2 linked regions of the Caenorhabditis elegans genome follow. The protein of the gene in region 1 purifies or fractionates together with the protein of each later gene. This does not show direct contact. Each region holds a gene or a part of one and is shown on either strand. Other genes may lie near its edges.

Region 1 (6,670 bases):
GTTTATTTTTTAGAATGGTCGCGGAGATCGTCAGTGGACTCGAGTACTCAAAAAAGGTTCTTCACGATGTCGGACAGAAAATCGCAAAAACCCGTGAGCACCACCCAAATTTTCATGCAGTATTGGCAATTGTTCAGGTATGAAAGCTTACCACTGATAATAATTTTATTTCAAGCATTGCTATTAACTTAATAATATTTCTAAATTGAATATATGAAAATGAAAATCTCTGTCCAATCTGTGTTTTGAGTTCATGACGTACATAAGTGCATTGCATACTTACAAAACAGATTTTGAAAGTTTTGCAGAGCGTAATTTGTAGTTGTGGTGTACTTTTGAGATACCGGCTTTTATTTCGTAACAAGACAAATAATATCCGAGGGGATATCTGTTATACTGAATAACTCAAAGTCTCAAAATTTGCAGGTTGGAAATCGTTCAGACTCCAATGTGTACATTAATTCCAAACTGAAAAAAGCAAAGGAAATCGGAGCAGATGGAAAACTCATTAAGTTGCCAGACACCATCACTCAAGGAGATTTGAAGCGAGAGATTATGGCTCTTAATCATGACAACGAGATTGACGGAATTATCATTCAGGTTAATATAACGGATTAAGTTGTAATATTGAAATGTTAACTTATAACGGAAAAAAAACACATCTCAGTTAATTAAAAAAAAACATCGGAAGCTAAACAATAATAGCAAGTTATTAATTTCAGCTTCCACTGGACTGCAAGCACGAAATCGACGCAGACTCTGTTATCGACTTGATTGACCCATTGAAAGATGTCGATGGACTGACTCGTATCAATGCTGGACGTTTGGCTCGTGGAGAACTCCAGCGTACGATCTTTCCTTGCACTCCGTTTGGATGCTTGTACTTGGTTCAACAGGCAACTGGTGATGCCAACTTTGTGTCTGGAAAGGAGGTGGTTGTTTTGGGACGCTCGAAAATTGTCGGATCTCCAGCCGCTGCGCTTTTCTTGTGGCATCATGGAACTGTGACAATCTGCCACTCAAAAACTCCAAATCTCAAGGAGAAATGCCTGAGAGCAGATATTTTGATTGTGGCAATTGGGAGAAAACATTTCGTCAAAGGTAGATTATCAATAAACCTAAATTTGAGATAGTGCACAGTACTGGCCATACAGATATCAAAAGATTGATTTCAACTTCAGCAAACGTGGTTATTCCGAGCTGAGATCTGACTATAGTAAAATAGTGAAAGTTTTTATATCCTGATTTTTTGGAATTCATCATTGAACAAATTTCGCGTTGCTTTTTTCATAATTACGCCCAAATCCATTTAAAAGAAGAATCTTGGCAAAAGTTATTACGAGTAGACCTTTATATGAGCAGCACGGTATTTACTTGCTAACCTAAAAGTTTGTAAGTCATTAAATTATGCAAAATATCTATAATAGAAACCCCAATTTAAGAACTATCAATGTTTAGTATGCACCTGACTGTTTGCAACTTCTGAATTGTTTTGCATCAAATAGAAACAGACTCTCTGTTCTGATAAGTGTCAGCGTTTTTTACAAATAAAAGCATATATTTCAGCTGATTGGATCAAGCCTGGCGCATTCGTCATCGACTGTGGAATCAACGTTGGTGACGACCCAAACTCACGCAAAATTTACGGAGATGTTGACACAGAAGCCGCAAAGGAAGTCGCCGGATTCCTCACACCTGTCCCCGGAGGCGTTGGACCAATGACTGTTGCCATGCTCATCCGTAACACATTTGAGCAGGCTAAGAGACGACGTCTTGGACAAAAGGTAAAATAGCTTTCCTTTTGCGACACTAAGTTTGTGCAGGTTTTTTGATGTTCTGGCCTAAGCGTGGATAGTGCCAAACAGTTTGTTTTGCGTGTGGGGTTGATACTGATGCACCAGAGTTTATTTCAAAAATTACAAAAGACACCGATAGCACGTTATCGACTCAAAGAACTTCAAAAATTCATTGAGCGATAAACTCTACGAAACAAGCAAATTTCATGGACATTGTCTTCATTATTTACACCGAATGTAAAGTTGTTCTGCAACTATAGTGTGCCTCACACAAAATCGATTGAAAATATGTTAAAAATATTTGTAAGTGTTGTATTTCACAGAACCTACTTTTCAGGATGACGATGATGAGTGAACTTCAAGCACCCACTTCCACCACATCATTTGCGAATGAACTATTTATAATGTGCTTTTTGGTTTGACTTTTTACTCTTTAAAATTTGTTGTGACGTTCTGGAACTTGAAGTCCTCTTCATACCTTTTTTTAATCTAATCTTTTCAATTTGTATTTTCTTTTTATTGTCACTTTCCACCGAAATAAACAATGACCAAGGACACAATTAGCCCTGATTTGTAAAAAGACCATGGTCTCGCGATAAATGCACGTGGTTAGTTTAGATGTTTAGATGCACGAGAGCGACGCAACATCGAACAAATCAGAGGACGCGATCAATAAGGCAGACCCGGCAAATGCCCCCCGTGCATGTTTTCTGTGCGTCTCCTAATATCTGATACTGACTCGATTACTTGTTCTGCCCACTGCCTTATCAAGGTGTTTGTATTTAGTGGCCATCGCTCTGCAGTTGTTTGAATCACTCGCTTTTTATTTTCGTTGATTCATTGGTTTCTCTTGAATTGTGAAACATGGTAAGTAACACTAACGTTTTGGGATTTGATTTTTAAACGGAAAATGCAATTTTGAAAACTCCAAAAATAACAAAAATAATTTGTTCATGTTTTGAGCGTGAGCAAAAAAAACAGAACTTGTGTATAATAACTCCACACTGTAAAAATACATTTTCAAAAAAAAAAAGAGTCTGAAGATAAAAAAAAGAGTATTATCTGTTAAATTAATATGTACATAGAAATTAATCTTGAAAAAGCGTCTTTTTTGTTTATGTTGACTAATAAAAACTTAATATGTCCCAGTTTGATATGTTGTCATACATTTCTGGAAAACCTAAAATATGTTACTTTCTTCTGATAAACCTGTCCGTGCGTTTTATCGTTTTTTAAAGTCAAGTTGCGAATTGCAACATTATCACTATTGTCAATCTATTTTATTGATTGATAAGAATCAAAATATAAAAAAATAAGAATTTTTGATCGAAGTTCCCATAAACATTTAAGTCACAATTTCTATCTTTTCATCAACTTCAATTTTCAATTTTTCACGCTGCTTGCGCCGCAAATTTGACCGAATGGTAATTCGATTAAATGTTCCAAATCAAACATTATAATTTCGTTGAATTATTTTTTATTTCAGAGCACATGGAATGTTGAATACTTGAAGCCCACCCTGTTAACTCCTGTTCCATCGGATATTGCTATTTCGAGAGCTCAACCACCAAAGGACATCGAAAAGGCACTCAAGAATATTTAATTTAAAAAAAACTTATCTTCATTATTTTCAGGTAGCTGGGGAAATTGGAATCAAACAAGAAGAGCTTGACCTTTATGGACGCAAGAAGGCAAAGGTTTCTCTTGACATTTTGGATAGACTGAGCGAGGTTAAAAATGGAAAGTACGTTGTAGTTGCTGGTATTACGCCAACACCTCTTGGAGAAGGAAAATCCACAACGACAATCGGACTAGTTCAAGCTCTCGGAGCTCATCTTCACAAAAAGGTGTTCGCATGTGTACGCCAGCCATCGCAAGGACCAACGTTTGGAATTAAAGGAGGAGCTGCTGGAGGAGGATACTCTCAGGTTATTCCGATGGAGGAGTTCAATCTTCATTTGACAGGAGATATCCATGCAATTACTGCAGCCAATAATCTTCTTGCTGCTGCAATCGATGCTAGAATGTTCCATGAGTCAACCCAAGCAACTGATGCACTATTCAACAGATTGGCACCAAAGAACAAGAAGGGTTTGTTTGAAGTCCCTTTTTATGGCATAGAAATAAATACATTAATACTTACTTTTCAGGAGTCCGCCCACTTTCGGAGATCCAACTTCGTCGCCTCGACCGTCTTGGAATCCCACGTGTAGATGATGCTGAAAATCTTAGCGAAGAGCAGAGAGTTAGCTTTGCTCGTCTCAACATAGATCCTGCAACTATCACCTGGAACCGTGTGATGGATACGAACGATAGATTCTTAAGAAAGATTGAAATTGGAATGGGACCGAATGAGAAGGGACACACCCGAACTACTCAGTTTGATATTACTGTTGCTAGTGAGGTTAGTCAAAACAATTTCATGGCAATTTTAATTTATTAATTCTTATTTGTAGCTCATGGCGATTCTTGCGTTGACAACTTCTCTCGCTGATATGCAAGAAAGAATTGCACGAATTGTGATCGGATCCGACAAGGCTGGCAATCCAGTAACCGCTGATGATATTGGAGTAACTGGGGCTTTGACAGTTCTTATGCGAGACACCGTTCGCCCAAACCTGATGCAAACTTTGGAGGGTACTCCGGTTTTTGTCCATGCCGGACCCTTCGCTAATATTGCACATGGACAAAGCAGTATTCTTGCTGACAAGGTTGCTTTGAAACTTGCCGGACCCGACGGATTTGTGATCACTGAAGCTGGATTCGGAGCCGATATCGGAATGGAGAAGTTCTTCAACATCAAGTGCCGTTACTCGGGACTTCAGCCATCAGCAGTTGTCCTTGTAGCAACTGTAAGAGCTCTTAAGATGCATGGAGGTGGTCCATCTGTTGTAGCAGGAGCTCCACTGAAACACGAATACCTTGACGAAAACATTCCACTTGTTGAAGGAGGATGCGATTCAAATCTTAGAAAGCAGATTGAGAATGCAAACAAATTTGGAATCCCTGTTGTTGTCTGCGTGAACAAGTTCGCAACCGATACCGACAAGGAGTTGGAACTTGTTTGCTCCAAGGCCAAGGAATACGGAGCATTTGATGCAGTGGTTTCCGAACACTGGTCACAAGGAGGCGCTGGTGCGGTTGCTCTCGCCAATTCTCTGGTCAATGCTACAACTGGACATCCAAAGCAATTCAAATTCCTTTACAACCTGGATTTGTCATTGGAAGACAAGATCGCTACTATCGCCAAAGAAATCTATGGTGCTGATGGCATTGAACTATCTGACGAGGCCAAACAGAAATTGGAAAGATACACAAGACAGGGATTCTCGAAGTTGCCAATTTGTATGGCAAAAACTCATTTGTCCCTTTCATCAGACCCAACAAAGAAGGGTGCTCCAACTGGTAAGAAATCAAATTATTAGATACCGGTCAATTATAAACACTCTGTTGATGTTTTAATGTTTATAGTTTAGGTACTAAAAGTTCAACATTATGATTGGTTAATGAAACTCGATATTGACTATGCATAAACAATTTCCTACCAAACTATTCAAACAACTATTTTCAAATCAAGATAGAGTTTTTGTAGGTTTCACACTTCCGATTCGCGACGTGCGTGCATCCGTTGGAGCTGGATTCATTTACCCATTGGTTGGTGAAATGACCACAATGCCAGGACTCAACACTCGTCCGTGCTTCTACGACATCACCATTGACCCAGTCACTGAGATCATTGATGGGCTATTCTAAACAATGCTTTCATACTTCTTTCTACAGATTATTTGTGATATGCGTAACATTGTGATTTTATATAAGAATTTAATACTGAAATTGTAAATAAAAAGAGTATATAAGAGCATATTTTTTGAAGACCAATAAAATTGAATTAAAAAAAATATTTCTGTCTGCCAGGACATATTTGCCGAAAACCTGTTATTTCAGAAAAAACCCGGTTTTTCCTGTTGTCACGTCATCATATGATCATAGCAGTTGATTGGCTATGAAATTGAAATTTGCTGGATTCAATTACTTTTTCATCAGCTCAACACAATATCTGTGTATCATAACTATGATACATTTTTCCAAAAATTGGTTATTCAGTATTTCTACTTAAAAACGGGATATAATAGTTTGGGTAGTAATGCTTTTTTTTTAATAATTTTTTTTGCAGTTTGTATCAAGACCATGCATATTATTTTTGACATGGAAATTGCATTGTTGTTTTTATATCTTCCTATCAAAAAAGACAATGCAAAACTTTTTTACAGATACTTATTTGTTGAAAATCGTAGCAAGTAAGTTAGCTCGAAAATATTTGAAAAAGGGGATTTAGTATTGAAAAACTTAGATTTTTAGTTTTTCTGGCAATTTCCTTTGACATTTTTTAAAAGCTTTTAATTGAGATGTCTGTTGCTTCATTGAAGATTAAAAAAACAAGTATAAAATCTTCTAATGCACTTTTACTTTTTCTTCCTTCGTGTAGCCTGACATGTTTGTTTCTTTAAATGCTGAAATTTATGATTCTGAAAAAAATTATTTGTTGAAATCATTTCATACAAAGTGGCACAGCAGGAGTAAAAATAAGAATAAAAATAAAGTACATGAAATAATAGCTGAAAAGTTTTTGGCAAGAAACAGTTGTAGCAATGCTACAGGATTTAATAGGGGAAATGGGAAGTGGTAGACTGACAGAACAATTGTCAAACAAGTATAAATCATTTTTGGAATTGTGAATGAAGCAAAGAAATTGAACATTTAAGATATACCAGATGAAATGTATTATTTGGGTTTCTCATAATATGACATCCTCCTTTATACAATTAAAGTGTTATTATTGGCTTATTGCAGTTACAAGAGTTTGAACAAGTTTT
Region 2 (5,834 bases), on another chromosome or scaffold:
ATTTTTTTTTATTTTCAGTTAATCGGAGCTGTGATGAATGCATCATGGGTCTCAATGCTCATTCTCAGCATATTTTTAAATATTAATCGGCTCATTTCAATTGTTTTTCATTTTCAATCCAACAAAATATTTAATTCTTTCAATATGAAAGTAGGTTATTAACATGATTTATCTTTTTTTCAATTCCGTCCTTTCAGATATATTTCACTATAGTTCTAATTGTATGGTGTATAGTTTGTTTTTTAAATGCTTTTGGATTCAGTAGAATGGTTTATTTATTACCTGCTTACACGTGGCACTATGCCGTGAGTACAACTGTGAGAAGTCCCACTTTATGTTTGGCGAAAGCTTCGCATATTGCCAAATGATAGTCAACTTTTCAATTTTATTTCCAGGCTTCAAATCCATTATCAGCTGTATTAAGGTCTGTAAGTGCTGATATATCTTTAATAGATGTCGTATTCTCATTATTTGCTCATTTGGTTATCTTCAGTTATATTTATTTTGTGAGTAAAACATACATATAATTTCGTTTCAAAGAAAATTGAAGAAAAAAACTTATCGAAAACTGTTTCTACAGTATTTCATGCAAAAAACTTTCAAGTACAATATCATCTACAGCTACCCCATGATTTTCGAATTAAATTTTCAATTCGTCAAATCTCAAAACGTTTTAGGTATATGAAAAAAATTTCACAGTAGTCGCAAACAAAGGGCAGATATTTGTATTAAGAATGTTTTGAAACTTTTCATTTCCCTTCAGAAGAGCTAATGTTTCATTATTTTTCAACATTTGTTGATTTTCAGAAAGCAGCATTATTGTCAAAGAAAGAATTAATATTGACAATTCAAGTATTATGTGTTTCTATATTTCATGTTATTGGGTATTTGACATGGGAATATCTACCAATTCCATGGGAATTACCAATTGGAGTGTTCATTGGACATGTTGTATGGATGATTTGGAATTCAATCAATTCAATGCTTTATGTATTAATTAATCCGTAAGTTTTAGAACTTTGGTTGACTGAAAACATTTTTAAAAAAAGTTGCAGTCGTATTCGTAACCTGGTATTAGCATCAATTGGAAAACAAACAGAAGTCAGTGGACGTACAATGTTTGTTGCTTCGCACGTATCAACAGTTCGACAATCCGGAGCTAAAATGTAGTCAGGTCTTCAAATAAAATATAACTTTTAGTTTTTAGAATTTAAGAAATAGAAAGATATCATTAGAAAAAATAATTATGTCTAGAAATAAAAACAATTTATTTCTTGTCATCGATTTCCAAACATTTATTTATAGGTCCATGAAATCTAGACACAGAAATCTTTTTACATGAAGCCTAATTTACTGCTAACAACTGAAATGAGAGGAAACAGATCCTCTCGATATTTTCAATTTTAAGGAATATTCTGCAAGTATAGGTGGACAGAGTAAAAAAGCTTTTGTCAAAGTAAAACATTGATAAACTGATAACACACAGAAACAAATAAAAACCGTCGTAAAACAGAGACACCATCACTTCATAATAAAAATGTTTGTGTTTTGTTATCAAGGGAAACTACCGATTGAATTTTTTTTTGAAATTTTGAAGATTTTCTGGCAAATCGAGAAAAAAAAATTAATGTACGTATATCTCCAATTCGAAGCTTTGATTTTATTATAAGAACAGAGAAACATTAGATTTTTATTGGTTTTTGAAACACCAACACAGATTTCAAAGTTATATAATATTTGCGATATTTAAAATCGATTTCAAAGTTCTTTTTATTTTCTACTTCTGATTTTTTTTCGATTATTAATTCTTTCATCTACAAGCAATAAAAACACAATAATATTTGCCTCGTTATCAAATTTATCTTATCAATTGAAAAATTGAGCAACACTGTTCAATTTGACCAGTCTAAAAGACATTTTTCATTGAAAAAGTTGCCAATTTCTGAGTGTATTTTTCCAAAAATGTTCAAGATTTCAAAGTTCACAAAATAATACTTATAAATGCATAAACTCATGCTCTCCTCATCCATCGTTTTCCTGTGATTATCTCAAAAGTTTCTATTTTTAGTGTTTTTTGGTTCCTTGTTCATTTTTTATTTTGTGTGATTTTTACGTCTCGAATAAAAAATATTAAACAAAATGTTAGAAATTGAATTTTACAAGACTATCGACTTGATACAATACATCGACGAATTGTGTGAAATGACCGACGGAAAATCACTTGGTAAGTAATTTCATTTTGAATTTTTTTAAATTAATTTTTCAAGCAATCCCGGAATAAATATAATTCATTTCTATTCTTTAAAATTATTTATTGAACTAGACATTCCACCAGGTCGAGGCGTTACGGGGGCACCTCTTCCCCGCCTCTAACCTCACCCACCTCGCTCCTTGATTTGGAAAACCCTTTTTTGTGTATTTAACAAATGAAAACTACTACAATAATGAACTAAAATAAACTGCAAGTATAAAGCTAAACATTTTTAATTTTCAGCCATTATATCGGTCTCTGACAAGACAGGACTTATTCCTCTTGCTCATGGACTTGTATCTGCTGGCTTAACACTTATTGCGTCCGGTGGAACAGCGAAAGCGATCAGAGATCAAGGAATTGATGTTCATGATGTGGCAGATGTAACAAAGTTTCCTGAGATGCTTGGTGGAAGAGTTAAAACTCTGCATCCTGCCGTTCATGGAGGAATCTTGGCAAGAGATACGGAAAGTGATCGAAAGGATCTAGAGGTGAGATAGCTTATTTTCTTTTTTTTTTGAATTTTTTTTATTTGTAAACTAACTTGTTTGTTGTCGAACCGTTTTCAACTGAAACTTGCAAATTATATTAAGTGGAAATAAATAAATTTGCAACATTTGTGCAAAACAATTCTGACAAAAGATCGGATTTTGTAGAACTTCCGGGAATCTCACAAAATGAACTTTGTACTGGCTTGAAAGATTTCACCATTACTTAGTTTAATCGAATTCATGATTGAATAGAATGAAGTGAAGAAAAAAAACCAAAAAAAGAAGGGCTAACGGGTGACAAAAAGTTGGTCCTTTCGTCAGATGAAGAAGGCTTATCTCGTGAAAATAAAGAGTTGAGAAGGAGACAAAAAGAAGATTAGAAGACAATTTTTCGTCCTCTTTTTCTTCATTTTGTCGTCACGACTTCATTCAAATTTCAATTCTTATTTCGAATTATATAATTTTTTTTTAAATAAACATTATATCTCGCTTTTGTTTAAAAAAAAAGTTAGTCTAATCTGAAACTTTGACAATTGTTTGTTAATTTTTTGAAGTTGGATTACAATTTTTTGGAAAACGGGTTAGAGAGTTTTTTCGGATTTTTTTGAATCAATTTTTTGTTACTTGCGCATTTCGCAACCTATGTCTTGCCTCTTGTTGGGATTAAAGTGCCAGCCCTGATGGCTAGAACACTTTGAGACAAAGTTGAGATATGTCACCTTTAAAATTAAATTATTAATTAGAAACCGAAAAAAAATTTCATAAAGTTAGCGTTCAGTTGAACGGAGAACGGCAAAATATTAGTCAAAAAACTTTGTTTGCCGGAAAATTGTATTACAGTCATATTGCATTTCAGGATAAACATTGAATCTCTGAGATAATCAAAAAATAATACTCCAGGAACATTATATTATTTGAAATTCTATTGTGTATTTTTAGAAATATTTTATCAATTCAGAGTGAAAATAAGATTTTTGTGAGATAATCTGTAAACCTTCAACTTTCGTCATCAACCATAGAGTAAAATTAAACTTGGAACATCCATAAAAATTGGCGTAAAAATCAACGAACACAACTGATTGGGGTGTTGTTATGATGCACCGAGAGCAAGCCTACGTGTCAGTTTCTACCGCCCGTGTCTATTCAATTACCTTCTCTTTCTATTTTCAATTGAATTTGTTTCATCTTCTTTTCCTTCCTTGTATTTTTTGGTTATTTTCTTTCTTCCAGAAACACAACATTTCATTCGTCTCAGTGGTGGTTTGCAACTTGTATCCATTCAAAAAAACTGTTCAATCCAAGGATTGCTCTGTAGAAGAAGCTGTTGAGAACATTGACATTGGTTCGTTTATTTCTTTCTTTTTTTGAGTTTATTCATCCGGAAAATTGACTTTGTTTTATGTTGCCATCTTTCTTTTTCCCCTTGTTCCTTTTGATTTCAATTTATGCACTTGACTTATTTTGCTCCTTTCGTGACTTCTAACCCTAAACCAAACATCAACATTTTTTCACAGGAACAGCTTAAATTGAAATCAGAAAATCATTTTAGCAGAACTTCATAACCAAAACATACGGCCTAGATTAAAAAGTTGAATTTTTTCAAATTTAAAGTGTTCATCCTGTTTTTAAATAAGTTACCAAATATTATAGTTCATTGGAATAGCATATAATTTTAAGGGGTGTAATTCTACTTCAAGCTAATAATTCAATCAAGTTAAAACGGATGTTCGTCAATGAAATAGACCATTCTTGCATTTTCAAAGACTTACAATGTTCAATTGAAAATAATTTAAACATTATCAAAATATATTTTTTGTATAAAAAATAATATTTCGGTCGCCTTCCATTATTATGATAGGGGGAAAATTGTCACTTTTGGATGAAAATAAAAATTCAAGATTTTTGATAAGTTTTACTATGTTATGTAATTCGTCATTTTAGCATTAGTGAATGATTTAATAATTGGCAATATTATCACATACAATACTATGATCAAGTAGTTTTATTTGAGCTAATTGAAATATCAATTTCGTGAAATTGGGCACGTTCAGGTTCTGAAAAATCGTTCTCTACTTATCACTGTGAAAACATGTATGTATTGTTCTTCTCCCTTCCTAAATCCTTTCTGACACCAAAACAATTATATTTTCTTCTTGTTCGTCTTTTTTAGTTCCTCAAAATATAAATTCAATTAACACGGAAGCTGGAGAATTCACAAAAAAAGACAATACAACCAACAAAAAACTGAGAAAATAATAATTCGTTTACACTTTCATTCTATACTTCCTCTCAATAAGTTCATATAATCTGTGATCATCTTCAGAAAATTCTTTCAGAAACATTTAAAGGAGCAAATCTTACGAATGCATCATTTCGTAAAGCTTGAGCTCTAGTTTTTGGTATCATTGAAATTTCCATATTATAACTTCTAATCGAATGGTTTTTTTAATATTAAAAAAAGGATAAGGTTATAGACATTTTATGATCTTAGCACAAAGTACAAAAAAGTGGAAATATTCGTTCAATTGTACCCATTGTATTTGTTTTTCCAACCGTTTCCTACATTTTTATCCCATTAAAAGGGCTTTTGTTTCATGAATCTTTCACCTTTTTTCCTGTTTTTCCGGGTATGTAAAACCCGCCCAGATTTTTTCTAGAATCTATATCACAATATAAACTCATATTCTTAAAATGTTGTTGTGTCCGGTTTTATTATTAATTGTACAGTAGGACATCAGAGAGTAAATCTATAAACCTTCAATTGTCCCCGTGGGTCCATTTTCATTGTAGCTATAAAAGAGAATGAAACGTTCGATTTCAACTACATTCTCAATTTCAGGAGGAGTCACGCTTCTTCGAGCAGCTGCCAAGAATCACGAACGTGTCAGTGTGATCTGTGATCCTGCTGACTACGATCATATCATTTCGGAGGTTAGTTTTAGATGGTTAATAAATCATCACAACCGATGAAAGCTTCAATAAGGCCAGTAAATAAATATGTGGGAAATAATACTAAGCTACTAAATTACAATGATTAAACATTGTTATCAGATATTTATATGATTTTTTTTCTACAGTTCACTTGCCAGTTT

The links. Proteins that work in one complex are often made in the same cells at the same time.
Region 2: the proteins of K07E3.4 (region 1) and atic-1 fractionate together in Caenorhabditis elegans (co-fractionation; one large-scale study listed by BioGRID). This does not show direct contact.

What each region holds. Positions count from the first base shown.
Region 1 is NC_003284.9:8,079,894-8,086,563, reverse strand, and holds K07E3.4 (formate--tetrahydrofolate ligase), read left to right. Parts: upstream 1-2,545; 5' UTR 2,546-2,660; coding exon 2,661-2,663; intron 2,664-3,161; exon of another isoform or gene 3,162-3,217; coding exon of another isoform or gene 3,218-3,220; intron 3,221-3,282; coding exon 3,283-3,381; intron 3,382-3,430; coding exon 3,431-3,887; intron 3,888-3,946; coding exon 3,947-4,200; intron 4,201-4,252; coding exon 4,253-5,201; intron 5,202-5,388; coding exon 5,389-5,549; 3' UTR 5,550-5,695; downstream 5,696-6,670. Other genes in the region: dao-3 (C-1-tetrahydrofolate synthase, cytoplasmic), read left to right, coding at 15-137, 427-600, 723-1,101, 1,567-1,784, 2,134-2,151.
Region 2 is NC_003282.8:7,879,865-7,885,698, forward strand, and holds the start of atic-1 (Bifunctional purine biosynthesis protein ATIC), read left to right. Parts: upstream 1-2,163; 5' UTR 2,164-2,202; coding exon 2,203-2,224; intron 2,225-2,494; coding exon 2,495-2,742; intron 2,743-3,972; coding exon 3,973-4,084; intron 4,085-5,581; coding exon 5,582-5,673; exon of another isoform or gene 5,674-5,706; intron 5,707-5,834. Other genes in the region: srt-73 (Serpentine Receptor, class T), read left to right, coding at 19-150, 198-305, 396-506, 808-1,004, 1,056-1,170.